3 linked regions of the Notamacropus eugenii genome follow. The protein of the gene in region 1 interacts with the protein of each later gene in a pairwise test. Links are inferred from orthologs where the notes say so. Each region holds a gene or a part of one and is shown on either strand. Other genes may lie near its edges.

Region 1 (10,462 bases):
GCTTGTCTCTAAAAATAACCAAGAAGAATGAGCTCTGAATGAGCTGCAGGATCTAAGGCCAGCCCTAATAATATGTAAGACTCAATTTTCCCTGGATTTGATTTGACATCCGCCTAGCGAGCAAGGGAATTAGTCATATGAAAACCCCGGGAGTCTTATTTATCCTGATTGTGCTCTCTTTGTGGTTATGAGGCGGGAAGTCTTCCCCTAGGTCTTCCTGGAGTTGAGACGAGACAACTCCGCATCCTTTCTGGCTCTGAATTTCTGTGATTCTGTGATTAAGTAACCTAACAACTAAAGAGCTTAAATGGGATGGTTTGCTCCTCTTTCAGACTGATTAACTGAGGAGGGAGATGAAGGAATAAAAATCTGGAAAGCCTGGGGCTTTGTCACAAAGCCCAGTTGCCTAATAGTGTGATGAGGATGTTTGTTATACTCAAATTTTTTTTTCAATTTATTGTTTTGGATGTTAGACTTTTGTATTTTATCTTTCTCCTGGCTGAGTTAGATTTGGGATCCCTCCTGAGCTAACTACCCACAAACAACATGAATAAGATCCCCACATAATAAATAAGCTTTAGATGTATGAGATAGCCTTAAACTCACCTGGTCAGAGGGAGAAAATTGTCCTTTGTCAAGTGTGACTGGCAGCAGAGATGACCAAACCAGGGGGCCATTTGTTGGGGTTCATTATGTGTCATACTGCTCTGTTGAACTCTGTAAGACAAAGATGTCCTAGGATAATTTACTTGTCTGCCCATCACTAAACTGAAATGCCATATTTGAGTCTGTGTGACGCTGAGGAAAACAATGTGCCCTGAGAATGTGTGGTAATCTTTTGTGATGTCACCTCTAGAATGTCTTGAGTGCTTTGGAGACAAGCTTGTGCGAAGATCCTGCACCTTGAATTTCACTTTGGTATGATTTTATCTTTTATTTTGAAAAAAGAGGTTATTTGAAACATAAACATGTAGTTATCAAGATAGCTGCTCCAAAATATAACATAGGCATAGGGAACAAATAGGTCTAATGGCATTTTCCAAATCATGTACTCACAGAACCCTGGTGTTCTGACTAATGGGAACCAGTAGAGTGATTTAAGAAAATTTCAATGCTGAAATATGAAATATAAAATTAAGTATATTAAAAACATTCTATATAGTGAGTTAAAAATAATCTTATTCCCCTCTAACATCCAACTTTCCCCAAGCTCTGTCTTTTTTCCTGGGGGTGAGTGGGTATTCCATCTCCCCCCCCCATCTCCTGGATCAGCCTTTAAGGTTTGAATTCATGTAGTTCATGCCTCAAAGTGGTCCATGGTTGAATAATTTTAGGAAATGCTGTTCTAAACCATATATTTATTTGAAGCCATGGTCTAGAGGATGAGGTAGAGTGATGTTGCATGTTCTTTTGCACTCAGATTTCCTTCCTTTGGGCATAAATAATTGAGGGTGTATGGTAAGCAAAGAAGCAAAATAACTATTCTTTTTTTCTATGGGTAACTGAGGTTTGAGCGTGGATATGGAAGAAAAAGTATATCATACTTGTTCCACTGAGTATCTCTCTTGGCCAAATTAAAATTCAGAGGGGCATGTGGTATAGGGGGAGGTGCCAGATTTGAGAAGCTTTTTGGTTCCACCTATGATTGACATATCGAAGAAAAATACAGTATGTGATTTTTAGTTAAAGATAGGCTTATTTCTTTCCCAAAATTATTGTGTGTCATCATGAAAATAATGTCAAATATCATCAGAATATTGGGATTTCAGCCCTAGTTCTCTCTGCCACTACTTAGCTTTGTAACCTTGGGGAAGGAACTAAATCTTTTCTTTTCTGAGCTTCATCATCTGTAAAATGAGGTAGCTAGTTCAGATCCGTTGTCTTCAAAGTGAGGACATTAGAATGACCCCACGGGGGTTGTGACTTGGCCCTAATAGATGAATTGATTGATCATTTATCCATTGAGAAGATGGGTCCCATTCTTGTCTCCCCTCCCCACCAGCCAATGGTAGGTCTTGTCTCTAAGACAACTCAACCACTTCCTCTAACACTTCTGTGTAACTTTACTCACTCCCTTGCACATTGGTTATATGGAAATGTGTTGGTCCTTCATGACCCAACTTCTGATCTAGGCACCAGGCAGCATCTGTGTTGGCAAAACTCCATCATTCCTTACCCCTCACTAACTTCACCCAATATCCTCTGGATGGTGACTACTGCAGTCTTTGAGCTCCGGGGAAAAGTAACTATATGCCATCAACCTTGCACAAACTTTTCATTTTTCTTTGGGAAGGAGTGAGTAGCATAGAATGAACAGATACAGATGGATTAAAATGAAATTATCTTTTACTCCCAATGCACTCCTTTTTTGAACTTCCTTATTTCTGGGGAGGGTACCATAATGCTTTGTTACCCAGGTTCTCAACCTCCATCTTAACCTTAACTTCTTATTCAATTGAAACTGTTCTGTTCAAAGTTACCAGCAATCTTTTAATTGCAAGATCCAATGGTCTTTTCTCAATTCTCATCCTTCTCTGACCTCTGTGACTGTGTTTACCACCTCTCTCCTGGGTACTTATTCTTTCTTCTTTCCTAACACTGCTCTCTTGGTTCTCCTATCTCTCTGACCACTCCTTAATTTCCTTTACTTGTTTATATCACATCCCCCAACAGTAAGTATTACCTTTTCTTGATGTGGATGATGTGTGTGTGTGTGTATATGTGTGTGTGTGTGTGTATATCCAGTCATAATCTTTCTCCTGAATTCCAGTCTCACATCATAAGTGCTTATGATGTATATATATATAAATATATATGTTATATATATAAATATATATGTTTTATATATATGTATATATATATATATATATATACCATAGGCATTTCAAAGTCAACATATCCAAAAGGGAATTCATTACCTTTTCCCCTTCACGACCCTCCTCCCAACCCACCTGTTTTCTGAATTTTCCCATTTCTGTTGAGCACACAATTTTACCCATTAGTCACTCAGGCTCTCAACCCTGGTGTTATTGATTTATCCTCACTCTCTCTCACCCCATATGGAAGTCCCGCCATGTTTACCTCCCCAATGTCTCTTGTATTCTTCCTTTTCTGCCTACCCATACAACCATTACCTTAGTTCTACGCCTCATAGCCTCTCACCTAAACTAAAGTAATAGCTTCCTAATTTGATCTCTTTGCCTCAGGTCTATCCCCTCTTTAATAAATCCCTAACATAGCAACCAAAGTGACTTTTTCTTAAAGTGCAGGTCACTTCCTTATTCTTCATTAACTCCAGTGGCTTCCTATTGATTTTAGGATCAAATGTTATTTTATCTGTCTCATCCCCACCCCCACCCACCAGTCCCCTAAGATCACTTCCCTAGTTATATCCTGGCCTCTCACTCACCCACATATGAATCCATTGCCAAATCTTGTTTTTACCCTTGCAACAACATCTCATATATTCCTTTTTTCTCCCATTCATACAGCTATCACCCTATATTTAGGCTCTCATCAATTTGCCTGGATTATGGCAATAGGCTTCTAATTAGTCTCCTTGTCTGTAGTCACTTCTTAGCCCTACCCATCATCAGTTCATTTCCCAAAGTGTTTTTCCCAAAGCTTCTAGGTCAGCCTGTGTGTGTTTCCCCTTCTTCCCCTCATTAAACTCAACTGGCTCCCTATTATCTGTAGGATCAAATATAAAATCCTTTGACATTTAAAGCTCTTCATTACCTGGCTCCTTCCTCCATTTCTAGTCTTTTTACACTTAATTCATTCCCTGTTCTATGACCTAGCTATATTGATCTACTCAAACACAAATACTTCATCTCTAACTACTCCTTGTATTAGATGGTTGACCCTTATGCCTAGAGTGTTCTCACCTTCCTCACCTCTAAATCTTGACTTTTTCAAGGTTCAGGACAACTCCCACCTTCTGCAGGAGACCTTTCCTGGTCCTCTCAGTTGTATCTTCCCCTCGAAGATCATCTCATACTTACTCTGTGTATGACTTCTTTGTACACATATATGTACATGCTGCCTTCCACATAAGAATGTGAACTCCTTGGGAACAGGATTATTTTTGCTTTTATTTGTATCCCCAGTAAGTGATTAATAAATGCTTTCTGATGATCTGACTAGTGTATATAATTATCAGTATAGTAACTATCATGTAGTAGCATAATTTATAAATGGGTAACTATGGAGACATGCACAGAAATTTGTTTCTACGAAAACAAGAGTGCAATCAAAAAAAGTTTGGAAACTCCTGGACTGGATAATTTTTGTTTTAAAAATATATGTTTTATTGAACATTTTTAAAACATTACTGTTCTATCTTAATGACACCCCCTCATTATAAACCTCCCTTGTAACAAAGAAGTACAACTGAGTAAAAATCCATGCAACATCCCTCCGTAGAGAGCACAGCCTTATTTCTTTCCCAGAGTCCATCACTATTCTGCTGTTAGACAGGGTCATGTTTCATTGGCTATAAAGATGATCTTTCTTTATAGCCTCCTGCCAGCACTAAAATTTCTAATCATTCTATGAAATGGTCCACCATTTCAAAACACTTACCTAAGACTTGAGGGGAGGGGATCAAACTGGTGCTTAGTCTAAGTAATGTTAAAGGGACCATCATTTTGACCAGTCAAAACAACTGTCATTACCTCTATGCCTACTTACCAAAGATGAAGAAGATGGGGGTTACAAATTTTCTGGCATCAGCAGGGAGAACAAAGCCTATGGAGCTGGCCAGAGGTATGATAGTAGCTTTCAGTACCTGGTTTCCGATTTACCAAATCGCTTTTCATTTGGTTGCTAGTAGATGCTACCAGAGGTTTGGATTGTCTCCTGTTGCTATGTCACAATGGGGGCTGCCCTATTCATTGCCCTCCACCTTGTTTGCACACTTCAGTCACTCAGCCTGAAATGTGGAATGAAGGAGTCAAAAGTAAAGGTAAAGCCTAAAATGCTTCATATAGGAATGACCGGGGTGAAAACAGCTTATTAGTGATCAGAGAGCGATTTTGAAAGCTGACCCTCCCCAAAAGAGTTTTCAGAAGGAAAACAGAGAATGGGAGGAAAATGATTGAAATTCTTTCTCTTAGTAGAAGAAATTGTAACAACTTGGGGCGAGGGTGACCAGATGGATTGCACAAGATGCCAAGAGAGCATTGGCAATTCAGGACACTCTGATTCAAAATATATTTACAGCCTTACGTTGAACAGATCATTTTCTACCAATTTCATGCCATACTGATTAACTAGAATTAAATCTGTATCTCCTTATGAGAAGATGCTGCTTCTGGTGGTGGAATAATAACATAATGGTTGTATGAGTATGGGAAGGTTTATGTTTAGGACTTAAATACTGGTAGTTTTTTGGTTTGTTTTGTGTTGGCATGGTGGTGTGGGTGGACATAGAGGTGGCCAGCAGCTCCTGGAAGAATCTATTACTGTTGGTAGCTCTTTCTTTTGGGATTCTGTCTATCCGCCCCATTAGGTCTGTGCATTAATATTTTGAGAGGCAGCATGGTGTGATTAACAGAGAGACAGTCTCAGAGTCAGAAAGATGGATTCTAGTTCAGCTTCTGACACAAATCAATTGTGTGATCCTGGGTAAGTCATTTAACTTTCTAGTGTCCTCAGGAGATCAGCTTTCTGAAGTTGTTGATCTGCATTAGTAGAGAATGTTCCCTCAGGTCTGGTAAACCTCCCCTTGCCATACACACACACACACACACACACACACACACACACACACACACACACACACACACACATACACACCAAAAAACTTATGGACAAGTGATAAAAATACAAGATATGGAAAACCAGGAGAGGAAAGAAAGGGAAATGATGTGATTTAGAAGAATTTTTCCCTGAAAGATCTATCCTTGATGGTAGCTATGTCTGTGACTTGGCAGTCAATTCATAGAAAGTAAGGACCCAAGGCTGATGAAGGATATAGTAGATGGTTAGACAGACAGAAGAATAGGAGGTGGGCAGTGTGTTGGGGGAGGGAATATTTACCAAACTTGATTCTGTGCTTTGGAGGAGGGGAGTATTCATTCTTCCTCTGCACAATGGAGGGGTCTATGGAAGATTAGGCATGGGATGCATAGAATGCTTTCTGGTGATGTGTAATGAAGATGGATAACATCTTCCCAAGGGCTCATTGGCATTGGCTGAGGGTTAGTATCCTGGGGATTAGATATTCTGTTCCTGTGACATGTCTTTCAAGAAATTGGAGACAATCTGTCCTCTTGCTGTGTAAGGAATACTCCTAGAAAAGAGAGGTTACTCTTTTCCAAAGTGCTTTGAACTACTACTGTGTTGTATTAAGCAAAAAAATTGCCTGATGCATCAAACAAAGATAAGAGTAGAATTTCTGGCCCTGGTTTCATCAATAACTAGTTCTGTGGCTTTGGGCACATCAGGTCTTATCAGAGCCTTACAGCTCCCCATCTGTAAAATGAAAGAACTGGGCTAAATGAGGAGCTAGGAATTTTTTGAGGGGAGAGAAAGAACTTATTTTGTAAGATAAATAGAATATAGCTTTTTGAAGAACCACACTTTCTTGTGTACATACATCACAGAGTCATAGATTTAGAACTAGAAGAGATCCTTAGAGGTCATCTTATTCAACCAGATAAGAAACTCAGGCCCAGGGTTGGTGACTTGCCTAAGGTCACACAGGTTGCAGAGTCTAGGACTCAAACTCAGGTCCTAGTTTTTTTTTAACTGTCCCAGATATAGATCAGCTCAGATGACACTTCTTTTCTGATTCTCCTAGTCATTAGCATGTATCTTTGCCACCTAAAAGTATATTATATTTATTCATCTGTTCAAATATTGTTTACCCTTCCTTCTCCTCCCTCTCCTACCCCCAGTAAAAATGTCAGCTCCCTGAGGTATGGGGCTATTTTTACCTTTAATTTTTTTATTCCCAGCAATTCACACAGTTGACTTGTACATAGCTGACAATAAATGCTGATTTAATTGAATTATGTGTGTATATATATGTATATATATATATATATACATATATGTATACATATATATTTTTGTTGTTAGAGGTTTGGTACCAATCTCCTCTATGCTGTTTTACATATTGTCATTTTATTTAATTCATTCACAGTGCATTGGGAGGCAGCCTAGTATGATAAGAAAATAAAGACTTGGTCTTGAGATCTGTGTTCAGACTCATCTCTGACACATCTTGCCTGAATGGCTGTAGGCAAATCATTTAACACCTCAGTATCCCCAAGAAATTCTCTAAGAAGACCAAAAGTGCAGAGCAGGTATCTGTATCTTTATTGGTAAAGGGGCTTACTCCTACAGAGTTCTGGTGAAAACAAACCAACCCTATGAACAAGAGTTGTGTCCAACTCTTCATGATCTCATGGACCATATCACATCAGTGCTGTCCACGGGGTTTTCTTGGCAAATATACTGTTTTGATTTACCATTTCCTTTTCCAGTAGACTAAGGCAAACAGAGTTTAAGTGACTTGCCCAAGGTCATCACACAACTAGTAAATGTCTGAGGCCAGATCTGAATGCAGGTGTTTCTGATTCCAGGCCCAAGGCTCTATCCACTGGGTCATTAGCTGGCTTCTACGTAAACAGTGGTTAAGTGATGTCAAGGTCACATAGCTAGTAAATACTGAAGTTGGATTCGAACTCGGGTCTTCCTTACTGCAGATCCAGTGTTCTATCCACTGAGCCACCTAGCTGCCTCACATACATAATGCCAAATAATGACTATTAGTGTACTTTAATGATGTCAACTAAAACACAGATATAGGCTCATTTACTTTATCTGTACATCGAAAACCCACTGCCCCCCAACCCCAACTTTAAGGTCTCTTCTTTCTGTCTGGTTGTAATTCCACAACTAAAATAATCTTTTCTCTTTCCTAGTCACTCTTACTCTGCTCCAGAGTGCTTCCAAGATGTCAGGAAGCCAGTATATCAGGGTGGAAAAAACTCCAGCTTTCAAGTATGAGGATCAGAGTTCAAATCCTCTCTCTGCTTTTATTGCCTTTTTGGCCTCAGACAAATTAATAATTTGCCTGAATCTCAATTTTTTCACCTGGGAAATGCAGGGGCTAGACAAAATGGCCTCCGAGGTCCTGTCCAACTTTAGATCTATGGTCTGCCTAGGGAGCTTTAGGAGGGTAGGAGTGTCCACTATTTTGTCAACAGGATTTACAGTGCTCCATTTCACTATACAAGCGCCTCTGGGTCTCCAGCCCATCAGATCTTTTCTTTCTCCTCTATTACATTGCAAATTCACACAGTTTGCTATTTGTTATCACCTCTAGGTCTATTCAGGCTTTATTGATTTCCACTTTTTCTTTCTCACATTAAATATTTGTGTTCCTGATTTATTTCCCCCCAGTGCATTGACTTGCAGTGTTTTTTTCCAAGCTGTCATTGTTATTTCTTGCCTGGAAGCCTGACCTGTGAGTTCCCTTTGTAGACAGCAGTTTCAGTTCTCCCTGGTATTTGCAACATTTCCCAGTTGGAGGAGGCTCTGAGAATTTCATTAAGGTATTGTTTACTCCTAGATCCTTAATGAAGATTCTAAATAAAATTGGAATGAACACAACAGATTCTCCCCTCCTAGGCTGCTTCCTGACACATTTTCATTTCTCATTACCCTTTGTTTGTGTCTGTCCTTCAGACACGTGGAGCCCCCTGACAGTACTCATATCTGTGCCAATTTAAATAAATGTTTGGAGTAAGATTTCAAGAGATTCTGTGTCAAATGCTTAACTAAAAGTACGATATATGACATCTCCTTTATCCTCTGTCTGCTTCTGTTGTAACTATGAAAAAACACACCCTGCAATCAAATTTGTCTTCCTGGGATTTATGAGCACATGCTGTTTATTGCCGATTATCCTTCACATGGCAGCAAATTTTTTCTTCTGCTAATGTATAGACTTGGTTGTTGCACCTGGAGCCAAGTTACATTTAAAGATCTATGTTAAGGGAGGATCTCTAACTCCCTCACTCTCTCTCTGTCTCTGTCTCTGTCTCTCTCTGTGTGTGTCTCTCTCACTTTCACTCTCTCTCTCCCTCACTCACTCTCTCTGTATCTGTCTCTGTCTCTCCCTATCCAGAGTGAAAACTGGTACCATCTTTGGTTTTTCCTTTGGAGTTTTCCATCTTTCTAGTTCTGCAATTCAATTTTATTCAGTTTAATGGATATGTATTAAGCATGTGTGGTATGATTTGAACTGAGAATGAAAAGATGAAAAACTATTTGTGGTCTCTGCCCTCAAAGGGTTTACATCTAATGGGGAATGCAACATCTCCCCATTACATAAATATAGAATCTCAGATGTGGAAGGGAACCTCAGGGGTCATCTAGTCCAAAGTGTTTTTTTCTTTTAATTGGGATCTGTAATTTCCTTGTATGGTAACTCCCAATGAAGTAACTCTCTAACAAAGCAGATAAGCAACTTTTAAAATTTAGCCTAAAAAAGTTTAAACCATGCTTGAATAAAATCCCCTCTATAACCTCTCTAAAAATGGTCAGTCAGCTAATCTCTACAAGCTTTTGAAGACTTCCATTGAGGAGGAGCTAGCTCAAGAAGACCTGTGTTCAAATCTGTCCTCAAACACTTACTTAACTTGTGTGACCCTGTGCAAATTATTTTAACCCTATTTTACCTCAGTTTCCTTATCTGTAAAATGAGCTGGAGAAGGAAATGGCAAAAAGCTCCAGTATTTTTGCCAAAAAGCCACAAATAGGGTTGTGGAACAGCAAGGACCTTGGCATACACAGGAGGGCCTGCTGTACAGGTTCTTAGTTCTGCTTTTCTAAAAGGAAAGCAACTTTTGAGGGGCCAACTTTAATCAAGCACATGTATCATTCACTTAGTTCAGGGGAAAAAGTCAGCACCCTGAACTTTAGGGAAAATACAAACAGAAACTGCAAGCAGAAATTATACAGAAGGACCAACAGATAGGGCTTCCAACAATAGGCAATACATACATCACAGATCAACAGACAGATCCAATTGTCTGACCATTACGTACATACATATAGAGAGTGAAGCATCAACATCTGAGTTTTCAAAGCTGGGTCAGGGCCGACTTCTTAGTGGCTACCAAGAGTCTCATCTGGCCAACTAAACACTTCCAAAGAGTAAGCCCCAAAACAAAAACCTCACCTCAGAGAACATATACACTTTTCAGAGCCAGAGAGCATCACAACCCTTGAGAACCAGTGCCTCACTAGAAGTGAGCAAAAAGTGTGGGCCTTCCTACAAAACAAATCTCCCCTAATCAAACTTCCCTTAATGGGCAGGCCTATTAATAGGTGGGGAAGATCTTTAACTCTCATTAACGTAATTAACATTACAGGTCCTGACAAGTTGGACAGGACTGAACAACAAGTGAGGAGGATGTTCTGTCAGCCCATTCCACTTTTGAAT
Region 2 (10,462 bases), on another chromosome or scaffold:
TCTTTGATTTCTTACCTTTATGCCACATTATAAATGTCTTACACTTAGAAGAGTGTCCCTCCCATTGCAGAATGTTGAAATCCTGCCCCTTCAAGGTCCAGCTCAAATGCTTACTGTTCCACCAGGTTTTCTTTGATCTGCCCAGTTTGTAGTTATTTCTGCTTTGTCTGAAGTCAATATATTTGTACTTTTCTAGTGTTTTCAGCATATTCACATTTTTATTATAGCTACTTATGCAGAAATCTTAGAATTCCTAGAAATATCTCTATTAACTGAACTGAATTTACCTTTGAACCTCCCCACAGGTACAGCATATAATAGTTTTAATAACTGTTTGCTGCATGAGTAAAGGAATGGACCTCCACAACCCAGAACCACTTCTGTTAAGATGGGAAATGGGACAGGCCACAGAAAAAGGCCCTTCATACCTCTGACTTTTCAAAATCAGAGTGAAATATGAAATATTTTTGAGAGCATAAATTTCAGTTCTAAACAGGGATAATTTAAAATTTATATCTGACAACCTGATACAGCAACTAAGAGGATTTTCCATTCCTTTCCTTTCCCCCCTCTCCCCTGCAAGTCCTGAAGGATCCTTTTTCCCTGTCCATTTGTATTTTTTCAGTTAGTAAGCTTTCAAAATTAATTTGTTTCTTCTACTACCCCCAACGGAGCAAACTATAAAACAAAAATAACATATCTCTAAATACACACCTGCACACTTCAGCAAAACAAACCCCTACACTAGCCACACCCAAGACGCGCACCTCTTCATTTTAGTTTGTTAGCTCTCTGTCAAGAGGCTAAAAGGCATTTCATTATCTTCTTGAACTGACTGTTTTCACTGATAAGGAGATCTAAAATCTTTCAAATTCTTTTCTCTATACTTTTATTACTGCATAAATTGTTTTGTTGGCTCTGCATCAAAACGTAAACGTCTTCTCAGTTCCCTCTGAATTTATCCATTTCATAATTTTTTTAAACATTTAAAAAATTATTCATTTAAAAATTTTTTAGACATTAAAGTTCTTTTTTGATTCCAGATTCCTCCCTAGCCTCTAGGCCTTCCCTTACTCTCTGGGAAGGCTGGCAATGATACTTGTCCTTTCTTTTCTCAGTTTATCAGGAGATCTCCCTGGGCCCGGATACCCCTATCTCCTTCCCTGGGGTAAAGCTGCCTTTCTTTTGGATCTTCATGACAAACTCTTCCCTCCAAACCCACTGCCTTGGGGTAGTTTCCTTACCTCAGTTTTTGCCAATGGTAGACAGATTTGCGAAGGGCACTCAACACAGCTCCACGAAGTTGCTTCTCTGACTGTAATGATCCTGAGAGGAGAAAGCAAAGACTGGACTTGAGGAACCAGCAAGGTGAAACCCAGCACTTAGTATGGGAATACCCTTAGCTCCTGTTTTTTCCAGCAGGGACATAAAACCCAGGAGGCTTCGAGTCTAAATCTACAGAAAAATATTACAAAAAATGAAAGACATGTTCTGTGCCATCAGAACAATGGTTTAGGCAAAGCATTATTCTTTCTCTGATAGTTCATTTTCCCTAGCTGCCCCTTGTGACATCCACCATTAATTCAGTTTTGCTTCTGGGTAAATGTGATGAGTACTGGGGACTGGGAAGACAGGATGATGGAAACTGCTTTGGTTAGGAACTTATTCATTCTTCTGCAACATGTCTTTTCAGCCCTGGGTCTGTGGAGTCTAGTGCAGTCTGCAAAGTTACTTACAAGTAGCCTCAGAAATAGCTACACATAGTCTCAAACAAACTAGAGGGATGACAATTTATTTAGCTATGTTAAATAGCTAAAATTTATTTAGCTATTTAGAGAATAGTTAAATAAATAATGAGCTGCTAGGTGGTGCAGCGGATAAAGTGCCAGGCCTGAAGTCAGGAAGACTCATCTTCCTGAGTTCAAGTCTGGTCTCAGACGCTCTACTAGTTGTGTGAACTTGGGCAAGTCACTTAACCCAATTTGTCTCAGTTCCTTATCTGTAAAATAAGCTGGAGAAAGAAATGGTAAACCACTCTAGTATCTTTGTCAAGAAAATCCTAAATGAGGTCACAAGGGTCAGACATGGTTAACAACAGCAATAAACAAAGTATAGCATATGAATGTAATGGAATATTATTGTGCTGTAAGAAATAACCAAATGGACAGTTTTAGAGGAAACTGGGAAAAGCTCTACGAATTGATGCAGAGTAATGTGGGCAAAACTAGAAAGATTTATATGACAAGAACACTGTATAGAAAAATAACTCTGAAAGACTTTAGAGTTCTGACAAAATGATAAACTGTGAGTCCAAAGAAGAAGAGATGAAACATATCACTTATCTCCTGCCAGAACTGATGGACTTAAAACGTAAATGAGATGTACATTTTTGGCTTTGGTCAATGTGGGAATCTGTTTTGCTGGACTCTGCATGGCCATCATGAGGATTTAAAAAAAAAAACTCCATAATGGAGTGTGAGGTATGGGAGAGCTAACGCTCACAAAATCAACTCATTAATTAATTAAAAGAAATAGCTGTTCATCAACACTGAGGCAAGTAACAATGTGTGGCAGATCATAACTCAAGTCTGAAATCACTGATACTTCTTTCTGCATTTGTCCTGAAGGAAAGTGTGCTGGGAAATCAAGAATGTCATAACTGTGCGAAAACACTACTGGAAGCTAGTTCAAATCTAGGTTAAGTCATGGGTGTGACAGAGGAATGTGTGTGGGTGGGATTTCATTCTTCAGTACAACCTGGGAAGGTTCAACACATTTCCTGATCATTCCTGATCCAGATCATTCTAAAGGAAGAGAGAAAGGTCTGGATATCCAGGCATCCCCTGGTATGTGATGTACAACAGAATCAAAGATGTATGATACTAGTATAGTAATGTGTTTATCAATTACCAAGTGTTCTGCACATATATTTCTCATTAGGTCTTCAGACTGAATACTTGTAATAAGTCATATGGGTATTAAATAATTCCCATTTTACAGATACATCTAACTTCTGGCTGTAAAGCGTTATTTATGACTGATTTCACCAAAGACATATTGGAAGATTAAATATCTGTCTGTAAAGTTGAATCTTTGCTCTCTGAATCAGTCCAACCTGGCTTCTTCCTTCGGCTCATCTAAGCCTTTACCTGTATCCTGGAGTTTATTTTCCAGCTCTACTGCTTTTCTGCGCAGCTCCTCAGGTTCCATAGGAAGCTTCCGACTCCAGAGGTAGTTGGTGAGTGTCTGAACTTGCTTCTCTATGTTGGGCAGAGAGCTTTCTGTGGGTCAGACATGAAAAGGGGCTATCAGTGAAATGAAAATTCCTTTCTTTTCTCTGCTTATTTTCTTGATCAAGAGAGTTGCTCACCCTGCAAGAGCCTCTGGGCTGCAGTGACCAGGGCTTGTGGCAGCTGCACTTGGGACAAATGGAGGACCCCTGGATGTTTGCGGTGGGCTCTCTTCCCCAGGAAATCCAATATATCATTCTCCTGGGACACTCTGGGACCAAGGTCGGCAAGCGTCTGAGGTCCAGAAAGAGGAAAACCGAATGAGGTTAAGTTGGCGAAGGAGGAAATCTGGGTAATAACAGCTCACTTTTTATGATACTTTAGGATTTTGAGGAATGTTTTATGTGCATTATTTCATTTGACAAAAGCTCGGCACAGCACAGACTGAGACTTCTTAAACTGCTAGTCCAGAGGCACGTTCTGGAGGATGGCAGCATGGCAAGGTAGAAGGGATCCCACACCTGTCCTTTATTACCTACAAACTCTTTGTAAAGCCAGTGGTTTGAGGTAGATATCCTCTAAGACCTCCTTCTAAATCTGCTTCAGGACAGGCATCTCCTCCAGGGATGGGGGGTTCTCTTGGCTTGGGGAGTGGGGTTGTCCCCCCAAAGGCTGGCACCTCAAACGTGAAGCCAGTGGCTTGAGGTAGATATCCTCTAAGACCTCCTTCTAAATCTGCTTCAGGACAGGCGTCTCCTCCAGGGATGGGGGGTTGTCTTGGCTTGGGGAGTGGGGTTGTCCCCCCAAAGGCTGGCACCTCAAACGTGAAGCCAGTGGCTTGAGGTAGATATCCTCTAAGACCTCCTTCTAAATCTGCTTCAGGACAGATGTCTCCTCCAGGGATGGGGGGTTCTCTTGGCTTGGGGAGTGGGGTTGTCCCCCCAAAGGCTGGCACCTCAAACGTGAAGCCAGTGGCTTGAGGTAGATATCCTCTAAGACCTCCTTCTAAATCTGCTTCAGGACAGACGTCTCCTCCAGGGATGGGGGGTTCTCTTGGGTTGGGGAGTGGGGTTCTCCCCCCAAAGGTTGATGCACAGCTGCCCAAGGATTCGGCCCACCCCACATGCTCAACAAGTGACTGCCCTGGGTCCGAGAAGGCCTCGCTGTGGGTGAGAACGCCTGGAATGAGCAGGGCTGATGGATTCTGACTGGGGGCTGCTTCTCTGGGCCCAGGAAGCCCGGACAGCCTGGATCAGACTGGGTGCAGCCGCAGGCTCTGGCCTCGTTCGGCCCCTCTGGCCTCGTACACGTGGAGAACGCATCTACATATATTTGCATATTTGATTCCCAGACTCCCACTCTCCTTTCTCTCTCCCCGCCCTCCCCCCCGCTTTCATCTTCCCTTTTTCTTTTCTATCCCATCCTCTGCCTCGCTCTTCCTGTCTCCGTCCCTCTAGGACTGTGTCGTGTGCGATCACAGACACGCGTGGGGATGGGGCGGGTGGGCTCCCCCTCAAAGGCCTTCCCGACGCGACCGAGCAAGGCTGTTTTCAGGAGCGGACCAAAGTTCTCACCCGGAACAACGGGGTTCCCGCCGGCGAGCAGCTCCACCTTCCCACCCACGGCAGCGGCCTCAGCCTTCTGGTGGCCGCCATGACTCCTGAGGCGAACCGGAAGCGGAATTGGAGACGCCCGTGACCCTCCGGGGTTACCTAACTCTTCCACATCCTCCAGAAGAGCTGGACACGTCATCAACCAATCGGGACAGGACGATGATTTCTAGGGGCCAATCGGCGGTCTCTATGTAAATTTATGGTGACGCAAGAATGTTTTCCCTGGTGAGAAGATGGACACGTGTCAGATTTAGCCAATGGGAAGAAAGCGCAGCGTGCGCGAGGGTCTCAGGGGGAGGCAGTCTTTGGCCCTGTGTCAGTTTCTTGCAGGAGTGTTTTTTTTTTTTTTTTAAAACCTCTGCGGTTACAGTATTGGTTTGTTCGTTACATTCAGGATGACGTCATCCAGCATCTCTTCTGAAGTTTTACATGAACAGATTGTATAACAAAACGGTACTCCCTTGCAAATGCTGTAGAATCACCAGAATGCTGTTTTAAAACAGTGGCCCCTGAGTCATCCTGTCCAAACCAAAAATGATTGCCTAATTAGCAAGAAAGCACGTGGTTAGTTTTAATTAGTACAAGTTAATTTGGTTTGGTTTGGGAAGGGAAAAATATTTGATAAAACTAGGTGGTCTTGTAAACATTTTACCTTTAAGACCAAATTTTAAGTGTATTTATCACAACTGAAATATAAAAAACCCTACTAGGAAAAACATTTCTCTTTAAAAAAGACTGCATATACTTTTGTTTAGAACTGGCTTTTAAATAAAATCTGGAAATCTGGATTTACATAGTTAGAAATGGTCCCAAATAGAAATTTCATGTTTCCCAAAGACTGGTCTTCATCCTATATATAAGTCTACTTAGTTTAGTATGTCCAGTGCCAAAGATTAATGTGTTAGTCTTATTTTTCAGTTCACGTTTTTGAGGCACGTTCTGAGCTGTTTTGAAACGTGAGGATTTATAAACATAACTTCAGTTACATAGTAATAAAGTTATAAATGTATAAAATCCCCACATAAAGATTAGAAAATGCACCCTTCTGTTGGTCTTTCAAGGATGGAATTTTAGTATGTTTTACTCAAATAATTCCATGCTGCAAATTTATTTCTTTTATTTTTCCACTTGGCCAATATTGTAATTGGATAGAATACTTCATCATTGTCAAATCTGGGTTTATTAACTTTTGCTTTCCAACTGAGAAAAAACATTGTTTCTATAAAACTTTTATTACTGTATCATGAGTATGCAGATCAAAGCTTTTTAATTGGCTAACTATATGAAAAGATGACCCAAGTGGATATACAGAAGCAAAGATGAGCTTCCCCTTAAAAAGAAAAAAAAAATTTTCAAGAGCACCTATGAAAAAAATGATACTAATTAAAAATATCCAGTGTGACAACAAAGAGTCTCTCAGAGGCTGTTTTTTAGAGGAAAGGTGAAGTCAGCATCTAGTTGTTAATTGGAAAAAAAGAGTAATAATAAAGAATTGAATTTGTAAAGTCTTCTCATATGCACTTATCACCTTTGAGTGTTGCAGGAATTGTGAGATAGGATGAGTCACACTTATTTTGAAAAGAGGAATCTTGAGTATAGGTAAAGTTAAGTAACTTGCCCAAGGGTTTCTTCTCTGAGGTAGGTGTTAACTTCATAGTTTAGCACTCAGTGATTTCAAATCCTCCCCTTCCTCATTTTTCTCATTGCAAAGGAGGGAGAATGCAGTTCCAGGGAGAGTTAGGAAAAAAATGGCATGTGATTGAAGGACATAGAGGAGTGTACTGAACTAAAGTGTAGGCATTGTAACTGTTAAGTAGGGATTTTAATGGAAGGCACCAACCATCCTGCTTGCAATGAAAAGTGCACCATAGGACTTTGGACTTTATTACTACCGGGACATCCTTTTGTTAGTCACTTCCATTACTGATTCAGTTTCCTCATCTGTAAAATGATGAGATTGAAAAAAATGATCTGTGAAGACCCTCTGCTTTCTTGTTTCTTGCTTCTGTTAGTGAACAAGCATGTATTAAGTGCCCAATATGTGCTAAAGACTGGGGATACAAAGGCAAAAATGGTTCCTACTCAAGGAGCTGGGGAGACAACATGTAAACCACTATGTGCCAAAAGAAGATATAAACAGAATAAATTGGAGATGATCAACAGGGGTGAAGCACTAAGGTATTAAGAGGAATTGGAAAAGCCTTCTCATAGAAGGTGGAATTTTAGCTGGAACTTGAAGGAAGTCACAGGACAGAGATGTAGAGAAGAGTATTCCACGCTTGGGGGACAACCCATGAAAATGCCTGGAGTCAGGAGACAGACTGTCTTGTGAGAAGAACATCATGGAAGGCAGTCTCACTGGATTGAGGAGTACCTGGAGGGGAGTAAGGAATAAAGAGATTGGAAAAATAGGAAAGGTCTAGGTTATGAAGGGTTTTGAAAGTCAAATAGATGATTTTATACTTGATCCTGGACAGGATAGGGAGTCAGTTTATTGAAAGAGAGAGAATGGCATGGTCATACCTGTGTTTTAGGAAGATCAATTGGATAGCTGAGTGGAGAATGGACTGGAGTGGGGAGAGACTTAAAGCAGGGAGATCATGCAGTAGGCTATGTCAATAGTCCAAGAGGGAAGTGTTAAATGCCTGTATCAAGATGGTGGCAGTGTTGGAGGACAGAAGGGGGATATATGAAAGGTGTTATGAAGGTAGAATTGACAATATTTGGCAAACAGATTAAGTATGGAGGGTTCCCTAGGATTGTGAGTGTGAATAACTGGAAGGATAGTATTATCCTTGGAGATGCAAGACTGCAGGTTAGGAGAGAGATTAGGGCTGGATAAGTAGATCTGGGAATCATCAATACAGAGATGATAATTGAATCCATGGGAGCTGATGAGATCACCAAATGAAAGTGTATAGAGTGAAAACAGAAAAGAGCCAAGGATAGAGCCTTAGGGGATACCCCTGGTTAGTGTATATAACATGGAATGAAGATCCAGCAAATGAGGTTGAAAAATAATGGTCAGGTGAGTAGGAGAACCATAAGATCACCAAGTTAGCAATATCAAGAAAAACTAGAGAGCAGAGGGTATCAAGGAGAAAAAGGGGATGGGCAGCGTCAAAGGTTGCAGAGGACTCAAGAAGGATGAAGATTGCCACCCTAGTTCTCATACTGATCTGGTACTAAGAAGAGTGGTATGGGATCTTTTCCCCACCAACATCATAGCTGGGGCAAATGAAGCAGAGAAAAAGGGCTGAGGATGGGGTAGCTATAAGATGGGCAGCTAGGTGATGCATTGAATAGAGTGCTAGGTCTGGAGTCATGAAGAGCTGAGTTCAAATCCATCCTCAGACCCTTCCTAGCTGTGTGACCTTAGGCAAGTCACTTCACCTTGTTTGCCTCAGTTTCCTCATCTATGAAATGAGCTGGAGAAGGAAATGGAAAACCACTCCAGTATCTTTGCCAAGAAAACCCCAAATGGAACCATGAGGAGTTGGATATGACTGAAACAACTGAGCAACAAAGGGAGAAAAGTCTTTGCCTAGAATAATGCAATATCTCCACGGGAAATTTTAGACCTAAATCCATGTGCCCCTGGCTCCCAGCCTGGGGCATTGTCTATTTCACTGCTCTGAGAAAAATACCCTTCTTACTTGGTCATGGATCAAAGACATACCAAGTGTATATTTAACACTAAGCACTGCACACAGTGCATAGTACGTAGTAAATGTTCAATAAATATTTATTGATGATGATGATAAAATGAGGTCTCCAAGTCTCAGGGGGTGACCTCTACATCTCTTTGCATGGAGAAGTCCGGATAGGGACTGATCAGATCCACACTCCCCTGGAAGCGGCATAACATAAACCCTCATAACATTTTACCTGCAGAAACAATTCATACTCTAGTAATTCTCCAATATTTATGCACCCATATTCTATACTATAATTAATCTTCTGAGGATCCATATTTTAAGAGGAATGTGGATAAACTAGAGAATGTTCAGAGAAGAGAAAAAAGTTTTTGACAAAGGAGTGTGAGTGTGTGTGTGTGTGTGTGTGTGTGTGTGTGTGATTAGGTGAATTAACAATCAATGGTTATTTCACAATGAATAGTGACTAACCAACTGTGTTTAGTGTTCTGAGGAACTATTCTTTGCTGAAAAGGTGAGAAGAAATGTTGAACATTATAGTTAGATATAAAGAGTTTTCCAATAGTTAAATTGGAACAAGTTTGTAAGGGAATTCTAGAAGAGTTCATATCTTCTTCCTTTGAGTCAGAACTGCTCTGCCTAAAATTAGAAGACCTCTGGAGGTTCTGCCAGCCTCAGAAGTAAGCCTCTAATTCTATTCTGCCCTAACCTTTTAGAATTGTCCCTTGTCACATACAAATTTATCATAGGGGTCAAAGGATTATAGATATCAAATTTGAAGAGACCTTAGAGGTCAATGAATCCTGTTCCCTCATTTTACAGAAGAGGAACCTGAGGCGGAGAGAGCTTAAGTGACTTATCTAGGGTCACATAGCTAGTAAGTATCTAAGGCAAGATTTGAACTCAGGTTTTCCTATCTCCAAGTCTGGCATTTTATCCAGTAAACTGCCTGAACTCTATTGGAACAACAATGGGAAAATGTAAATGGGGTTGGGAATGAAAGTTGCTTTGGAGCCTTAGAACTTGGGGAAAACATGGAGACTTCTAAACAGAACGTTCATGTCTCCTTGAATGGGATATAAGCTTTTTGAGAATAAGGAATGTTTCATTCTTTATATTTTATTCTCAGTGCTTAGGAGAGTACCAGCACATAGTAGGTGTTTGTAAATGCTAATTGACCTACAGCAAGATTTGAATATAAGGCAAGCAAGCCAGCCTAGCTGAGGCAGCAAAGAACTATGAGGGAGAGACAAGAGGTGGTATGTGTCAGGTGAGCAAAACATCCTCACTGTAACCATTACCTCCTCTCAAACTCATATGATGGCAGTCCAGGACCCTGAGTCCAAGAGCTTTTGGATTAGTAGTGATTCCTGGTTCAATGATCGAATGGCTCTGCTTTCAGCTTGGCTCCCATAGTTTCTGTGGAGAAAGGGCTGGCTATCCTTGCCAACATCATCACCAATCACTGCCTAATTGCCATTTATAGGCAGATAAGCCCAAAAATCTTGGGAATCACATCTTGCTATAGACCAGAGTTCTGCCCTTGGAGCTGTCATCCTTGGGAGCGACAGCTGTGGAGATGGGATCAACCATCTTCACTGACTGCCTCCCATAAGGTAGGCCAACTAACTGTAATAAGGCAGCCTGTGGGAGAGATGGGAGGTGATGGGAAAATGCCATTACCACCACCTTGTCTGTTACCTCCCCTTAGACCTGAATGGAAACAGCCCAAGACCAAACCCAAGAAATAGCAACTTCCACCACCACTTGTACTCCCAACCCCAACCACGAGTACTGCTTACACCCTCTTGTGGAGATTTGACCTGCCAATTGTTTCTGCAAGTAGGGGCTGGCAGCCCTTGACTCTTCTGGGGCACAGCTCCTAAAAACCTATAAGAGAACATTTTTCCTATCACATCTTTGGTACTTTCAGATGACATGACATCAGAAATGAGTATGATTT
Region 3 (10,462 bases), on another chromosome or scaffold:
GATCAACTCAAGGTATTCTTACAGAATATTATATTTGTAAACTATGCATAAATGCCAATACATAATTTTAAAAATATATTACCGTTTAAACAAATTATGTTGCTATTATCAACCCTAATGTTAAAAGCAACCTGACAACTTCACCCTATATAGTTTTGTTATAAAAAAGATTTTCAGGATCGAGAGCAGAGGAAAGATCCAGATAGATATTACTCTCCTCCAAGTAAGGTATAGTTTCTAGGATACTCTAAGAACCATGCAACTGTATTTCCTTGGGAAGGGGAGATTTAACTTATTAACATTCTTAATAACTATCAAAGCAAACCTGACTGGTTTCAACTGTTGAGCAACTCTGACTTAATTTGTAAGCAACTGACCTAGGGGTGGCAAACCTGTGGCCCCAAGGCCACATGTGGCCCTCAAGTGTAGCCCTTTGTCTGAATCCAAACCACAGAACAAACCCCCTTAATAAAAGGATTTGTTCTGTAAAACTCAGACCCAGTCAAAAGGCCACACCCAAGGACCTAGAAAGCTGAATGTGGCCCTGAGGCTGCAGGTTTCCCACCTCTGAACTAACCATTTAAGAAGCAGCAAGTGAGAACACTGAAAATCATGCTAAAATCCAAGTTGTCAAATAGAAAACTGGGACAGGTTGCTCAGCTGCAGGACTCCTTTGTAGGGAGCTCCACAGTGTTCATTCTTTCTGGTGATCTTCATACAGTGTAAAATTGTGTTAAGTCAGCAATCTTAAAAACTTCAAGGATGATCAGGAAGGGTTTTCTGTCCAGGAAAGCAGCCTTCCCTCAACAAGAAGGAAGAAACAGTCAATGCTCCATGAAGGAATGAGCATATGATCCCTGGCCTCAGAGGAGGAAGTTGCTGAGTCTAGTTCTGGGTATTTTTCTGCATATTCCTTTTAGGAATGCTCCCAACTTACAAGATGGTTGTCAGCTAGAGAACGGGTTATTTTTTAAAACCTCATGTGAATGCTGCAAGAGCAATATAATATGCTCACTGATCGAAAACATTATAAAAACAGGTTTAAGATGAAATGAAACAAAAGGGGAAGAGGGGAAAGGAGAGATGGGAGTGAAAATGAAGATTGACATCTATCAAGAGGATTATACTGGCTAAGAGTAGGATGGAAGGGGTGGTAGAGAAGAGAAACAGGATACCAACTGGGAGACACAGATTAGCTTCCCTAAAATGGCCTTTCAGCATCAGGCTGCTAAGCTGCAGCAGGAGAATGTCAATGTAAATCAACAAGAAAAATAAAGAGAAGCCCTTCAGTAGGGGGTGAATCTGAGAATCACGTGTGTACACACACACACACACACACAAACACATCCCTCCCAACATGGAAAGGAAGCCCCCTTTTAAAACTTTTAGGTCTCTCCATTTTGCAGTTGCCATTATAGAATCTCATCTCCCAGGTCCCTAGGAAGCTGCTGCTCCAGAAGCTTAGGAGGGCAACTTGGCTGGTACCTTGGGGAGAGCTGCCCCACTGAGTTCCTAAATTCCTCAAGACAAGACTTTGGAAAATTTTCTTAGTTTGAAAAATATCTGCTGCCTGGCAGAATATCGGCAGCTGGTCCACTTGGAAAGAGACTGAAGCAATGGCAGGCACCTTTACAAGAATGCTTACTGGGCTCTATAAGAAGGTTGTGTGCGAGTAAAAACTGAAAAGGGGAAGGCTCCTTTGCACCATCAAAACCACACATTTGAGACAACAAATACTGACAATCAAATAACTGCTGTGATGGCTTTTTTTTTTTTTAACTTGACCAGTGATTTCTCTAGTAGAGCAACTTTCCAGGGAGGAATTCCCTTTACTAGCACAGACTGGCAACGGCTCTGCAATTTATAGGCAACTTACAGGTTGGGGCACTGAGAGAGTAAGTATATATCTAGTGCTCTATTTAATCTTTTTAAAAAAATCTTCTAAAGGTTTAAGGATCTTTAACTTCATCAATGTGGGTATTCTCTCTACTAGGGCCACAACACCAGTCTGTGTCAGAGGTGGGATCTGAACTCAGGTCTTCTCAATTCAGGAGCCAATTCATCTACGCCACCACACTACCTCTTTTGTGCTTTATTACATCACTAAAAAAAACCCCAAACAAACCAGAAATGAAAACAAAATGAAACAAAAGCAAAACCCCCACATCTTTCAAAGCTTTAAGGATTTATAACTCAACTCAGCAGTGTGAGTATTTCTTCTACCTGAGACGACCATCCTTTAGTCAAATTTCACCACATTGCAGCCATTCTGGTGACTGGCTCAGACAAAACAGAGTCCACCACAGGACAAAATACTCAAAAGCTTTAGCAGCTTGGTAGGACCCTTTCATGACTTACATTTCATTGGAATAGCCTTTGAGAACTCATGGTCACCTTCTCACCACAAGTAGGCATAGGAGTAGGATTTCAGCTGAGGCAAAAAAAATGTAGCAGATTTAAAAAGGGGCACCACAACAAAAGATCAAAGTCCTAATAAAAGCCTGATTAAATAAAAAATGATCCCAACTCTGAACCTGCAGGAAATGCCATATAGGCTTAACAAAATCTTCCAACCTCCTTATCATCCTATTCACCTCATCCTCAATTTTGCTATAACTCCCTATTGGAAACAATAATGTCCTCTAGCCCAATGAAAGATACCTCAATTTTGAGGGTGCGGCTGGTTCCCCTAGAGCTGTTCTATCATTCTCCTGTACACTTTAGCTCCTGGACCCCACTGCACTACACAGCAGACAACTAGTCACCACTATTTCACAAACTGAGTTCATTGGGTTACAACATGGAGGCTTAACTAACTACAGTTAAATAGATTAAAATTAGCTGGTCTCTCCCTCCAAACCCCCAAGACAGTGTAACCTTTGAATGAGACAGGAAACATAAGGGAAGAAAAATTCTTCATATCATTAGTGCTAAATCAGGTTTTTAAAAATAGTACAGTGACAGGTAATCTGAGGGGAAGGAATGTATCCCAGAGATAAAACATTTAAGAGCTAAAAGGATGGAGCTTATGAGCAAGAGAACACTTCTGCCATTATACCAGTGGAACTGCCCTTAGCAGGATGGCAGAAGCTCCACCCCAACTACCATATTCTGCATGAAGCTCCAAGGCAGGCAGGCTGTTTGGCTATCTACCTCAAAGGCTCCCCCAGAGCCTGTTCAGTAGCACAACTTGTCTGCCAGGCAACAAAGCATTAAGAATTTTTCGAAACAAATCAATGGTTCTCATCAGTTTGATCAGAATTCTCCTACAAAATACCTCCCCACAAAAACTGGGGAAAACCAGACTCAGTACTGGCATAAGAACTATAAACTTTTCTGTCTTAAAGTGAAATATCAAGCTACTTGATGAGTAAGAGCAATGTAATTATTGGATACATTTGCCTCAATACAGAAAATCAGAGTTTTACTGCACACATCAGGACAAGAACACCTTTCTTATTTCTCTTAGCCTGAAGTCTTTGCTCACTCCCAGTTTATCTGGTTTATAGTCTGATATTAAGGCAGTCCTTAAGGCATAACCCATCCAGTGGCCTGAGGCTCCATTCCCACCCTAGATCTCATGTATCAGTCACTTTTTCTAAGTAAGAATAACAGCCCCAAATGGCCAGAAGCCCTAACGAATCTGTTAACAGATCTTGGGATCATATATCTAGAGTTGGAAGGGGTCATAAAGGTCAAATAATCCACCACCCCTCTCATTTCACAGATGAAGAAACTGGATCCAAAGAGGTTAAATGGTTGCCCAAGGAATTCAGGTAATGTCAGGTGGAATTTGAACTCAGGTCCTCAGCCACCAGAGCCAGGGGCCTCTTTCCCTATGTACTATGTTGTCTCACCCTTTTAACCCCGAAGTGACCTACTGATAAAATCTACAATGTATACAGGCAAGAGAAAACAAAAGGAATCATGCACCCTGTATTTCCCAGGGAGTCTGACAAGTTTATTCTCAACTCTCAAAGAAAAGCACAGGCAAATGGGGGCAGTAACCTGGAGGGAAGGGAAGGTGCTACACAAGAAGAAAGACAAAAGCTATAGTGACATCAGTAAAATTGTTTTAAATAAAGAAAAATAAAAGTTCTTTATTCTTTAGAAAACCTTAAGTATTGTTGCTTTATTCTCTGTAAACAGACAGCACAGGTGGCAGAAGCAGCCATGTGGCACAGAGGGCTGCACTAACTTCAGAGACTTAGTGGCCTGACCTAGTTGTGTGACCCAGGGCAAGTCCCTTAACTTCTCTGGGACAGTTTTCTCACCAGTAAAAAGGGGATAATACAACAGTACCAATCTCCCAGGGTGGTAGAGATGAACCAATGAGAAAACATATCTAAATGCTCTGTAAACATAACAAGTCTTTGCTATTGTTATTATTATATGCCTTCAACAGTATCCAAGGTTCCCCTAGAAACTGAAAGTGCCAACTTAAAGATGAACAGATAAATGGGCTCCCTCCCCACAAGGGTGGATAAAACTTTAAATTCAAATTCCGAGCTTTGTTCTGCTTCCAGCTATAGTTTAAGAAATCCTCAGAAATTCTACAAAAGATCTCAGAAAGAACAAGACTCCCTAAACTGACTAACAGGGAAGAAAGAAGAAAGGGGAAGGAGAATAATGGTATTCTACACATAATATAAATACTCGAGCAACCAATAATTTAACAAAGTGAACTGAAATTAAGATGGATGTCCAGCAATGAGCACTGGATCTGGAATCCGGAGGCCCAAGTTCAAATCCCAGCTCTGCCACTCATTAACTGTCACTTTGGGTAAATCTCTTCACCTTTTCTGGGTCTCAGATTTCTTATCTCTAAAATAGAGGATGGAATGGTTTGATTCTCTAAAGCTCCCAAATCTATGACTATCCAGGGCTCTAAAACCATTAGATCCCTTCAGTTTCTGATTCAGGTCTTCGATGAGTTCTTTTGACGCAAAGGTCTGGCTTTAAAATCTACGCTCCTGTGCTCGTGAGACCCAGAAAAGGCGACTTGGCCAAGGATCTTCCCCCAGCTCTGGGCTTCCATACAGACTTCTTAATACTTCTCTTGACATGGCACATCCTTGTGCCCTGACCCCTGCCTTCGGCTAGATTGTCTTACTGAATTTTTTTTTTTCAAATGAAACGAGGTTGCAGGACAGCTACAGGACAAGAGGAAAGCTAGGTTTGGAGATGGAGGATTTGGGTTCAAATTCCAGCTGGGCCACCTGGGCTGTGTGATTCAGATTCCTCATTTGTAAATGAGGGAGGTGGAACTAGATGACTTCTGCGGTCCCTACCAGCTTCGCAATCCAAAATCCAATGGATACTCAAGTGCACGGAGACCAGGGTACATCCTCCCTACATCAGCGGCCCCGCCCCACTCTTCCAAGTATCCCATTCAAATCCCAGTCCAACTCCCTACAGGAGGAAGCCACAGCTCCGAACGGCAGCACCAGTTACCTCGTTTGAATTCCTCCAGGACGGCATCCAGCTTGGTGTCGTTGAAGACGAAGTGGAGGGGGTGATTGTAGAATCGGATGATGGTGCTGAGCGGGGTGCAGTCCTCCGGGTCCACGAAGGCCAAGTCCTTGAGATAGAGCATGTCCACGATGTTGGAGCGCTCTTCCTCGTACACGGGGATGCGGGTGTAGCCGCTCTGCATGATGGTGGACATGACGCCGAAGTCCAGGACGGCCGAAGAGTCCAGCATGAAACAATCTTTGAGCGGGGTGAGCACGTCCTCCACCGTTTTGCACCGCAGGGCCCCCTTGCTGAACTCCTCCCTCACGAACTCATTGTAGGGGTCAGTGCCCCGGGCCAGATCCACCACGCGCTCCCGCAGCCGCCCGCCTTCCGGGCGCAGGGCCAGCTCCAAGAGCTTGCCCACGGGCAAGGCCACGGGGAAAGTGAGCAGGACGGCCAGGCGGGTGAGCCCCAGCGCGCGCGGGGCCAGGCTCAGGCCCCATCGGCCGCTGACGGCCGCGGGCGCCACCTCGCCCACCAGGTAGACGAGGCCCGCGCTGCCCAGCACGGCGGGCACAGCTCTTTGGCCCACGGCACGGTAGAGGAGCACGGCGAGCGCAGCCTGGGCCAGACTGGCCAGCAGCAGTAGGGCGCACAGGGCGAAGCTGCCCCAGCGCCGCAGGGGCTCCAGGCGCCGCGCCGCCGCCCGCTCCGCCTCCGAGCCGCTCTCGCGCAGCACCTGCACTTCAGCCGGCTCCAGCGCCAGGGCGCTCAGCTGCAGCCCCCGGGCCAGCGCCGCCAGCCCCAGCAGCGCGGCCGCCAGCAGGCCCAGCGCCCAGGGCAGCAGGGGCTCCTCCTCCACGGCCAGCGAGTCCCCCTCGGCCGCGGGCGTCCAGCTCCCCTGGGGCCCCCCGCGGCTGCACAAGCGGTAGCGCGCGCCCCCCGCGGGCCCGCCGGGCTCCACGCGCACCGCGAGCAGCGCCGAGTGAGGCCGCACGGCTTCGGGGTTCACGCTCAGGGGCGCGCCCGCGCCCCCGTGCGCGCCCCCCTGCTCCGGCTCCCCTCCCCCCTCTGGGCAGCCCTCGCCCGCGGGAGCGAAGGCCACCCAGGGCCACGAGCGGTTGGCGAAGCCGGAGCCGAAGAGCCGCAAGCGGAAGGCGGCCCCGGGCGCGGCCCGGACCACCCGGCCCCGGGCCCACACTGGACCCTCGGCCCCGTCTCCGTCCTCTTCCAAGCAAAAGCCCAGCACGCGCGGGCCTGACGCTTCCCCCCCAGCGGCGCAGCCCAAGCACAGCGCGGCGAGCACCCAGCGTAGGCCGCCTGTCGCCGCTGCTGCCGCCGCCGCCGCCATCACCAGCCACCCCCCTCTAGGCCGCCCGCGCAACCTACTCCAGGGTCCCCGCCTCCCTCCGGCCAGTCAACGCGCCCATCCGCGCCCCTCTGGCCAATAGGAAACGGAGGGGGGCGGAGCGTCAGGAGTAGTACTAGGCTGCGCCGCGTTGTAAACAAGATGGGGGCGGGTGACCTGAGGGGGGCGGGGCACGTGGTGGAGTTTGGTTTTAAAGAGGTGACATGCTCCGTCTGACCCCTTGGGAACTGGGTTGGGTAGTGGGGGCGGGAGGCGGGGGAAAGGTGCCAGTTGAATCTATTGAGTTAATTTAATTTAATGTTTTTACATTTTAGGCTCCTTATTTTAGTTGGTTTTTTTTTAATGCAGAAGCACAGCATTACATCTCCCATCTCCACGCGTTTGCACAGGCTGTCCATCACTTACGCCTAAAATTCTCTCTCTCATCACTGCTTAAGGTCCTCTCAAAGCTTAATTTCAAGTGCCCCTACCTATTGGAGACCGACCTTTCCTGACTCCCCCAATTATCAGCTGGTGAGCCGTTTCAGTCGTGTCCGACTTCGATACTGCAGTGCTTTGCCGTTTCCTTCTTCCGCCCATTTCAGAAATTTGAACTTGGTCTTTCTGGCTCAAGCCAGGCGCTCCATCCACTGCAACGTGCAGCTGCCCACCTTCCTGCTGGAGATCTCCCCTGATTCCGTTATTAGTGTTCTCACTCCTCGCCCCAACCAACCAATCCCAACCCTAGTTATATTCCTTTGGTATATGTGTTATATTTACTTATCGGTGGGTGAGCTCCTTGAGGACAGAGGCTTTTTGTTGTGTCGTTATTATCTGCTCCGGTACTTGATGAAGGTTTATTGAATTGAGCATCGACTAGGAGTATTTTTGTCCATTGACTCACAAGAGGCCAAGCCGTGGCGGTCCTAGAACTGGGAAAGCCCCGCAAAACAGGTTTTTGTTCTCATGGAGCAAGTTGACCAACTATTGGGTACCTGAAACCCAACACCTCCCGAAGTCCTCTCTTCAAAGAACTTTAACAACTTCTAAAGGCACACACTGATTGAGAAGTACTACTGGGTTCTATAAGGTTATAGGTTTATAGCTGGAAAGGACCTTAGGGGTCATTGAATCCAACCAACTAAGGCTGACGTTGTTGCCCTGTGTCATAGTTAATAAGTATAAGGCAGGATTCAAATTCTTCTTCCTCCCAATTAAATTCCAAATCAATAAATCTGTATTAACTATCTTAGGTGCAAGGCACTGAGGATGCAAAAAAAAAAAAAATTTTTTTTTTTATATGCCTGAGTGCTTGTCCTCATGGAACTTACATTCTACCTTTTAGAGTCTGCTTGCCCTCTTTGGTCTTTGGTTTTCTTGTTTGTGAAATTAGATTGAACCAGACAGGCTCCTAGGTCTCTTCTGCCTCAAACCATGCAAGCATTCCTGTATTTTGTTTTGTGTTAAACTTCAATCCCAGGGAGAAGCAATCCCAGGAAGAGATCCTGAAAAATCAACAGAGTACAATCAAGGTCAGGTTCACTAGCTCAAGAGATCATTTGATTTTATTTTTTTCTATGTTGCTTGGCAATTATTAGTTAGGAATCATGGAATACAAGACAGAACCCTGGATTTGGATCCAGGAAAACTGGGTTGAGATTCCTCAGCTCAGCTACTTAATAGCTGTATGACTCTAGGCAAGTTCCTTAGCCTCTGTGAAATTCCGTTTCTTCGTTTGTAACACTACCCCCCTCCTAGGATTGCTATGAAGAGTAGGTTTTATAAGAGTAAAATGCCATATAAATGTGAATAATGATGAAACTGCTCTGGTAATGCTGCTGAAATGGTCGATGGATTTAGGGGACTCCTAGCTTAAGGTGTGTGTTCTGGACAGGACAACCATTAGATTAGAAACCCTTGGTGGCTGAGAGGGTGTAGTGGGAAACTCAAGCTGGATAACTTTTACAGGAATGTATTTTGAGGAGAAAAAATTGCTTGATTGTTTTGTTGGGAAATGTTTGTTAACTGTTAAAATATAAAATTTTTTTTTTTTTAAATATGACCAAACTGGAGAAGATAGAAAAGTTCTGCTGGCCAAAAAGAACTTTAATTGCCACAACTGACTGACCATTGTGAGTAGACACAGATTCTGGATTTTTACTCACTGCTCTGTATGTCTGGAACGGGGTACATACTACAGGACATTCTCAGTTACACTTCTTGATCCTGGTCAAACAAATGAGATGTCTGGGGCCAGTGCTGAAGGGACTCCTGGAAAATCTTGAATGGACCTTTAGTCCTTCTTCCCATCTTATGATGGCAAGGAGATAGGATGCTGAATCAGTTCAAAGAAGAACCTGCTTCCTGTCAGCTCTCCTTGCCTTGACTCTCCTGCAGGGGAAGTAATGAGCTCACTCACTCTCTTAACTCCCAATGAGTTGTGTGGAGATGGGATATGTGCTTTCCCCTACTCCCACAAGAAGAATGGATTCTATTAAGAAAGCTTGCATCTGGACCTATGGCTGATTTGTGTTTCCCTTTCTGAACAGGTAATTATCAACCTTAAGGTGGAGGTATAAAGGCTTGGAGTCAACTTTTAAGACCAAGAGGTCCAAAAGGACTGGGTTTATTGAGTGAAACTGCCTGGTTGCAAGGGGGTTTTCTTTGTCATAGAAGACAAGACCATCATTGGCTCCATTTTACCAGATGTTATACTGGGAGTTGTTTGGACAGTTGAGAGCTCCTGTGAAATGTAAAGTGTCTAATATGAAGCCAGACCTGCAAACTATTTTATGTTGTGATGAGGTTTAAGTATCAGCCTCCCAGAAGACTGTTAATGGCAGTTATTGCAAAACACTGTTCTAAATTGCTCTGTCAGTGTGAGCTATCTTTTGTGTTTTATTTGTCTTGTGTGTAGGCATACCTGCATCTCTGATTCATGATACACACTGAATAACTTTCTACTGCCCCTTTTTGGAGAAACATCAGCTATGAGCCAAAACCTAAGCTAAGTCATACTGGATTACTAGGGTTAAGATTTGAGCTGAAGAATGAGAAATGAGAGCATAGCTCCACTCTCATTAGAGGGTGGGCTACCAGGACTGAACAGGTCCAGACCATGTACATATGTCCATAGTACATGGACCTCGTAATGAAGAAGGGAATGGGCAAAGGACACCAGCCCCTGTGGACCCAGAAGCAGTTTCTTATTGTTAGAGAAGTAATTTTCTCCTTAAAAGAGGAGCTATAAAAGAGTATTAGGTACTTAATAAATGTTAATAATTAAGTTATTATTAATAAATACTTATCCATTGATTTAAGATTATCTGATATTACTAGGAATTAACAAACTTGGAAAACATTTAAAATATATCCAAAGACTTTAAAGAATCCAGCAGGTTTTCAGTGGTGGTAATGTACCCAGTCCATTCCTAACTTTTTCCCCTTACACTGGCTTCTAGATGTGTCTCTTTGTATGACCCCAGCACTAAGCCAGACATTAACCAATCCCTCGGGCCTGGACTGTGGCCCATTTGTGTCCTTCTGGTTTTCCTTAATTATAGTCTCCACCCCTTCTTATAGTATCTTAATAACAATGGACATTTATAGGCTCAAGGCACCACAGGCATTACTATCCTCATTTTATAGATGAGGAAA

What was found.
Region 2: the proteins of CBY2 (region 1) and METTL17 interact in binary tests that used the Homo sapiens proteins (3 or more experiments, as listed by UniProt). The link is inferred for Notamacropus eugenii from reciprocal best matches to the Homo sapiens genes CBY2 and METTL17.
Region 3: the proteins of CBY2 (region 1) and CNNM3 interact in binary tests that used the Homo sapiens proteins (3 or more experiments, as listed by UniProt). The two-hybrid records come from large-scale screens. The link is inferred for Notamacropus eugenii from reciprocal best matches to the Homo sapiens genes CBY2 and CNNM3.

Annotation. Positions count from the first base shown.
Region 1 is NC_092877.1:296,276,014-296,286,475, forward strand, and holds the start of CBY2 (protein chibby homolog 2), read left to right. Parts: upstream 1-4,861; 5' UTR 4,862-4,876; coding exon 4,877-4,966; intron 4,967-10,462.
Region 2 is NC_092878.1:12,956,910-12,967,371, forward strand, and holds the start of METTL17 (ribosome assembly protein METTL17, mitochondrial), read right to left. Parts: upstream 4,942-10,462; 5' UTR 4,886-4,941; coding exon 4,805-4,885; intron 3,525-4,804; coding exon 3,371-3,524; intron 3,282-3,370; coding exon 3,150-3,281; intron 1,327-3,149; coding exon 1,245-1,326; intron 1-1,244. UniProt on the Homo sapiens protein: Mitochondrial ribosome (mitoribosome) assembly factor. Binds at the interface of the head and body domains of the mitochondrial small ribosomal subunit (mt-SSU), occluding the mRNA channel and preventing compaction of the head domain towards the body.
Region 3 is NC_092872.1:523,500,985-523,511,446, forward strand, and holds the start of CNNM3 (metal transporter CNNM3), read right to left. Parts: upstream 6,836-10,462; 5' UTR 6,809-6,835; coding exon 5,455-6,808; intron 1-5,454. UniProt on the Homo sapiens protein: Probable metal transporter.